Coturnix japonica: one gene and its partner. The protein of the gene in region 1 interacts with the protein of each later gene in a pairwise test. Links are inferred from orthologs where the notes say so. Each region holds a gene or a part of one and is shown in the gene's direction. Other genes may lie near its edges.

The links. The genes of interacting proteins can lie anywhere in the genome.
Region 2: the proteins of AMOTL2 (region 1) and RAD51D interact in binary tests that used the Homo sapiens proteins (3 or more experiments, as listed by UniProt). The two-hybrid records come from large-scale screens. The link is inferred for Coturnix japonica from reciprocal best matches to the Homo sapiens genes AMOTL2 and RAD51D.

The regions. Positions count from the first base shown.
Region 1 is NC_029524.1:3,381,917-3,384,135, forward strand, and holds part of AMOTL2 (angiomotin-like protein 2), read left to right. Parts: intron 1-237; coding exon 238-382; intron 383-623; coding exon 624-716; intron 717-1,449; coding exon 1,450-1,745; intron 1,746-1,843; coding exon 1,844-2,136; intron 2,137-2,219. UniProt on the Homo sapiens protein: Regulates the translocation of phosphorylated SRC to peripheral cell-matrix adhesion sites. Required for proper architecture of actin filaments.
Region 2 is NC_029534.1:3,364,944-3,369,177, forward strand, and holds the start of RAD51D (DNA repair protein RAD51 homolog 4), read left to right. Parts: upstream 1-1,434; 5' UTR 1,435-1,557; intron 1,558-1,751; 5' UTR 1,752-1,770; coding exon 1,771-1,852; intron 1,853-1,975; coding exon 1,976-2,037; intron 2,038-2,181; coding exon 2,182-2,300; intron 2,301-2,943; coding exon 2,944-3,025; intron 3,026-3,124; coding exon 3,125-3,259; intron 3,260-3,550; coding exon 3,551-3,646; intron 3,647-3,771; coding exon 3,772-3,862; intron 3,863-4,110; coding exon 4,111-4,181; intron 4,182-4,234. Other genes in the region: UNC45B (protein unc-45 homolog B), read right to left, coding at 228-389. UniProt on the Homo sapiens protein: Involved in the homologous recombination repair (HRR) pathway of double-stranded DNA breaks arising during DNA replication or induced by DNA-damaging agents. Bind to single-stranded DNA (ssDNA) and has DNA-dependent ATPase activity.

The DNA.
Region 1 (2,219 bases):
AGAGCTCCCTCTGTGCCCACAGGGCTGAAAGCAAAAGAAAAAGGGTTTTTGCCCCCAGACCTGTGTTGTTGTGGGGGTTTCTCACTCTGCGGCTCCTGCCCATCCTCTGTGGGTTTGCGGAGCCCTGTTGGCAGTGCAGGACGGGTCCTGAGCCTGGGCAGTGTTTCACCAGCATCTGCCTTTCTTTTCCTCATTCCACGAATATCTCACCCCCGCCCATCACTTCCTCCTCTCCAGCTGGAAACGGAGATCCAGCGCATCTCAGAGGATTACGAAAACCTCATGAAGGCATCCTCCAAGAGGGAGGCACTGGAGAAAGCCATGAGGGCCAAAAGAGATGGGGAGATGCGGCGGCTGCAGGACTTCAACCGAGACCTGAAAGGTGAGAGTAGCTGTGGTCCACAGCTCCATTGGGTGGCTCCCGTGCCCCAGTTCCCAGTTCCAGACCCTTCCTCTCCCCTATTCCTGCAGGCCCTCTCTGTCCATCAGCCTTTCCCCAGTATTCTTCTTTTTAGCAGTTTTATTAGTCGGAGTGTTTTCACAGGTGGGAGGGGGTAGGCGGATTCATCTGTCCAAAACAGCCTTTTTAAATCTCATTTCTTTTATTTGTGTTTTTGCACCAGAACGCTTGGAATCGGCCAACAAGCAGCTGGCCAGCAAGACCCAGGAGAACCAGGAGAGCAACCAGGGCACGGTGGCAAAGCTCCTAGCGCAGAGTAAGTCCCCAGGGGTTCGGCTTTGCCTGATTTGCCACAGCAGGGACTCAGTGCAGAAGCCTTTATGTTGGATGAAGAGGTGGGGGGGGGGTAGAGAGGAGCTTTTTGCCCTTCCCCAGGGATGGCTGTGCTGCTCCGGGCGCTGGATGCAAGCCATTAATCCCGGCCGGCCGGCGGGGTGACCTGCATTCTCCACATTCCTGCTGCCGTGTGCAGGCTCTTCCAGCACAAAGTCCGCACTCCCTCGCTGTGCTTGCCCAGCCCTTCCGTGCTTCTCTCCTGTGCAAGCTGGAATTTCTTTTCTTGGGGGAGAAATACGGCAAGATCCATAGCTCTTTATTTTTCCTAAATGCTATTTCATCAGAGAGCTGGCGTTGGTATCGTGGGGGAGGAATCGTGTCACAGTCCTTACATCAACAGCTAGGTGTAACCTAGGATGGATTTTCTCATCTCAGGCCACATTTTTGGCTGGAATTTGCCAAAATGAGGCTTTCTATGGCAGCAAGTGTCCATGGTGGTGTCATGTCCATCAGGGCACGGCCATGCTCTGAAATGTGTGCTGCAGGGTTGCCCTTGGCCCCAGTGCACCTCATGTGCTGGCTGAGGGCTGCTGACACCACACAGCTGAGTGGAGACCTGTGGGCACAGCCTCTTTTTTTGGCCGGGGGGCTCCGTGGGCCTTTTAACCCCCCTGCACTGTGTCTCCGAGTCTTAGACAGATGTTCTTTTGCAGGCTATGAGCACCAACAGGAGAAGGAGAAGCTGGAGCGGGAAGCCTCGCTGCTGCGCAGCGCCAACGAGGACCAGCGCCGGCGGGCAGAGCTGCTGGAACAGGCGCTGGGCAGTGCCCAGGCACGGGCAGCCAAGGCAGAGGCCGAGCTGCGGAAGAAGCGGGCGTATGTGGAGAAGGTGGAGCGGCTGCAGGCAGCCCTGGGTCAGCTCCAGGCTGCCTGTGAGAAGCGGGAGCAGCTGGAGCTGCGGCTGCGCACCCGGCTGGAGCAGGAGCTGAAGATGCTGCGGGCTCAGCAGGTAAAGGACATCCTGGGGACTGTGAGGTGGGAGGGGCCAGTGATCTGCATCCCAGCATCTCCTCACCTTCTCTCTGGGTCATTTCTTGGCTGCTGCAGAGGCAAGTGGGAACCACAGGTGGAGGGACGCCCGAGCTGAGTGCCCATAGACTGTCTGAGCAGCTGAGGGAGAAGGAGGAGAAGATCTTGGCCCTGGAAGCTGACATGACCAAGTGGGAGCAGAAGTACCTGGAGGAATGCACCATGAGGCAGTTTGCCATGGATGCTGCCGCCACTGCTGCTGCCCAGCGGGACACCACCCTCATCAGCCACTCACCACGGCACTCACCCAACAGCAGCTTCAACGAGGACCTCCTGCTGGCCAACCACAAGCACCAGGAGATGGAGAGCAGGTACCCCACCTTCCCTGTGAGCCACTTGTTGGGTGCTGCGAGCATCCTCAGTGGTCCGAGTGACTCCATTGAAGTTTATGGCT
Region 2 (4,234 bases), on another chromosome or scaffold:
GTTCCCATTAATAGGGCACCCTGGTGAAAGCTGTAGAAGCCTATGGAGGGCAAGAAAGGAGCTTTGGGTACCATCTCATTGGTAAAGGAAGGAAACAAGGAGAAGTCTGGTATGGGTCAGACAACAGGCAGCAATGGAAAAGCCTGCAGCTCTTTGGGGTTGGGACCACTGCTGAGCCAAACCAGCATGCTCAGCCCTATGGGGACAGAACCCAGAGCTCTCCTCACCTTTTTCAGGTAGCACGCAGCCCGGTTGCGGTACAGCACAGCCTGCAGTGCCCTGTCCTTGTTGAGCTTCATGGCCTGTGTGTAGCTCTGAGCTGCTCTCTCATAGTCGCTGGCTTGAAAATATTTGTTGCCTTCCTCCTTCAGCTGGATGGGATCCTCCATCTGGGGAGCAGAGGGGAGAAAAAAAACAACAACACACATTTTAGGCTGCTGGGGAGTTTTAAGGAAAAACATGAAATTTGTGCCCCTTCTGTTTTGGTCTGCCTGCCGAATAACCCTGAACAAAAGCACCTTACCAGGTTGAAGTGCTCAGCCAAACTGCTCCTCAAGGCTGTGGCTTCTCAGCTGTAAACCCACACAGCTACAGATCCGTAGTGACCAATGAATAGAGGTAAAATAACAGAAAAGAGCTCAGAGAGTCCAGACGGCTCAGGGAAGAGCTCACCTCCCACTCCAAGTTTGGGCAAGAGCTGGCAGCTCCTGCTGCGTGTCACTGTCACCTGTCAGCACTGCCTGTACCCTGTGCTATATGGGGCTGGGGGCCACCGCCACCCAGTGTGGGGGGAGACACTGTGTAAAGGCACACAGCTCTGGGCACAAAGAGGGGATGCTGCTCTCCCACTCACTGCATGGATCGCTGTTATCCATGACCTGCAGAGCTGCATGGGGAATGGAGTGGGAATGGGAGGGCTGTGTGCCATACACAAATCAGTTCACATGGTTGACCCCCGTCCTAGTGCTCAGAGCCTTGTCCCTTTCTATTTAGGGAGGCATGAGACAGCTGCACAGGGACAAGTGGCTCTGTCTGACAGCTGCCAGCACCTTCCAGAACAGCCGTGGAGGGAAAGCACCAGAACCTCCTTTCCTGCATTGCTTCAGCTTAGGTTTAGTGGGTTGTTAGAGTTAGAGTAGTGTGGTCAGGTTGTGGTTGGACTATATGACCTTGAAGGTCTTTCCCACCCTGAGCTATGCTATAGATCTGTGATTACTGAAGAACATCTACTGTACCGTACAGTACCCTATCCCATCCTACACCTTTAATTCCAACATTTATAGACGCTGGAGCATTGCTGACAACTGCACTGATGGCCATTTAGACCAGGCTGGTGCATAGCATCCCCTACAGACACAGACCAGCTCCCAGCTGTGATTTCCTTCCTATCCAGAAGCAGTGTCACGTTTTTTGGAGGCATCCTTAGGGGTGAGCAGACCGCTAGGGGGGGTGCGGAGCCCGGCAGCCCTTCCGCAGCCCGCAGGAAGCAGGAAGGGGGTTGCTATGGGATGAGGTTCGGTACCGGTGGCACTTTGGGGACCCTTCGGCCACCCGTAGGTGCGGGATACGCGTGGGGCTGCTGGGGAGGGCTCGCTCCGTGGGCACAGTGATGGTTACGTGTGTGCTTTGGGTGGCACTAAAGGCATGGTTGGATGGGGGTGCTGCGGGATGTATGTCCCCACGGTACACCGTGGTACCCCGTGGGTGCCCATCCCATCTCCCAACAGGTCTCTCTGCTTCCATCCCTGCAGCTCCCTGTCCCACGGTGCCATGGTGGTCCTGCGGGCCGGGCTGTGCCCTGGTCTCACTGAAGAGATGATCCAAGTTCTCAAGGCAAACAACATCAGGACGGGTAACTTGGTGGGGGATGTTGGCTCCTGCCCCTTTGGGGTATCACTGCACATTCCAGCCGTGTATTCCCCATCTGCTGTGCTTGTGGTCAGCATCCAGCTTCTTGTTTCTGTGTCATTCATAGTGGTGGACTTTGTGTCATCGGACCTAGAGGACGTTGCCCAGAACTGTTCCCTGTCTTACAAGGTACTGGGTTATCCCTGAATCCTCCCTAAACCGGGCACTCACAGCTGCTCAGCTCCCTGCTTGGATGGGCTTTGCTGGGGGCCCTTCTGCAGGGCACATTGGTGGCCGTGGGTTTTCTTAGTCCCTCTATAAACTGTCCAACAGGCGCTGGTGGCTGTGCGCAGGGTGCTGCTGGCCCAGTTCTCAGCTTTCCCCACCAACGGAGCAGATCTCTACGAGGAGCTCAAGAGCTCCACTGCCATCCTGCCGACCGGCAACCCCAGGTGGGTGCCCAGTGAGCTGTAACATGGTGATGCTCCCAGTGCACTCAGCGTTGTCCCATTTGTCTCCAGCTCTTGTCACCAACCCCAGCCTGGCTGTGCCCATTGAGAGCAGAGGTGACTTTTCATGTCATGTGGCTGTAAAGTCAGCTGGTCTCTGTCCCTTGAGGGGTGACACCGCTGTTGTTGTCCTTGCAAGAGCCTGCACATGTCTTAGAACTGACTGTATGTCTCAGTTCTAGACTAGAGAATGTGCTGCCCTCAGTCTTTCCCTTGTAAAGAAGATTATGGATCTGGGAAGGTTTGGAGTGATGAGTTCCCAAGGCTGGGCAAGGAGATCAGTTGCCCTTTGTTGCCCAGGCTTATTTCTCTTCCCTCAGTCTCCTTGTTGGCTTGTTACAGTGGGGTTGCAGAGAAACCCCAGATATTCAAACCTGGCTCCCGGGCTCTTTCCCATCTCAGCATAGTGCTCTTATACTGCAGAGCTGCTGCAGCCCATGGTGTAGAGAGAGTTAGGGTAGGAGGGTGGGAGCAGAGCCCAAGGCTTCTGCCTTTGGGAAGTGGATGGTAAGGGCTGGTATGTGGGAGCACTGTCCCCTTTCCATGCGATGCACATTGAGCATCCTGCCTTGTGCTCACCCAACAGCTTGGACCAGCTGCTGGATGCAGGGCTGTACACCGGGGAGGTGACGGAGCTGGCAGGAGCACCAGGCAGTGGGAAGACACAGGTGAGTGGAGCAGGGGGTGACCTGGCCTGGGGCTGGGGACACCAAGGGCTCTTACTGTGCCACGAGTGGGCAGCTGATGCCTGATCCATGCTGCTCCAGGTGTGCCTCAGCATCACGGCCAGCGTGTCCCTTGGCCTCAGGCAGCACGTCTTCTTCCTTGACTCCACGGGGGGGTTCACTGCCTCCCGCCTCTACCAGATGCTCCAGGCCCGGGTGGAGGACAAGGAAGAGCAGGTGAGTTCTGTGTTTTTCCTGCTCGTGTGGGCATCAGCCCACCTATGTCCTCATGGGCTGTGCTGGGTCCATTCCTACTGAGACTGGGTGCTAATGAGAATGGGGGAGTCTGGTGTGGTCCCTCACCCACTGATCCTGTGCTGCTGCCACAGCTGGGGGACAGTGGTGTTCATGGGGTGGGGGTAGATGCAGGAGAAATGAAGGTCCCTGGCTCCATAGTGTGGGCAGGAGGGATGTGGGCGTGCAGTGCATGCAGTGCACATCACAGGGTGACACTGCTCTGTGTCACAGCTTGAGGCCCTGCAGCGGGTGCAGGTGGTCCGTGTGTTCGACATCTACGAGATGCTGCGTGCCCTGCATGAGGTGCGGGACTGCCTATCCCAGCAGGTAAGGCCTCCAAGTCCTTCTCCTTGATGAGCATCACCCCATCCCAGGGATATCCAAACCTCAGTGCAGCTTTAACACCTCCAAAAAACATTGCTCATTATTGCATGGTTGATTTTGTTCTGCAGGTGGAGAGCTCGGCTGGGCCGCTCAAGGCAGTGCTCATTGATTCAGTGTCAGCCGTGCTGTCCCCGCTGCCGGGCGGCCGGCAGTCGGAGGGTGAGCCCTGAGCTGCTCTGTGGGGTGGGGGGTTGATGGCAATGTGGTGGAATTGGTGTGAAGGTGCTTATGAGCACCGTATCTAAGGCTCACACAAGTCCAGCGTCACCAATGGGTTGGTGGGGGTGGGTCAATGGTTGGACTTCATATTCTTAGAGGTGTGCTGACATGAGTGATTCTGTGTTTGTACCTCTGGGGGCTGCTCCCTCTGTTTGTGTTGAGCCCCCCAATGCCTGCTCTGCCTCCAGGCTTGGCCATCATGATGCAGCTTGCACGGGAGCTGAAGACGTTGGCCAAGGAGTTCAGCGTGGCAGTGGTGGTGAGTGCTGCTGTCTGTGGGCCTTCCTGACGTGGTTTAGGGGCCCCTGGTGC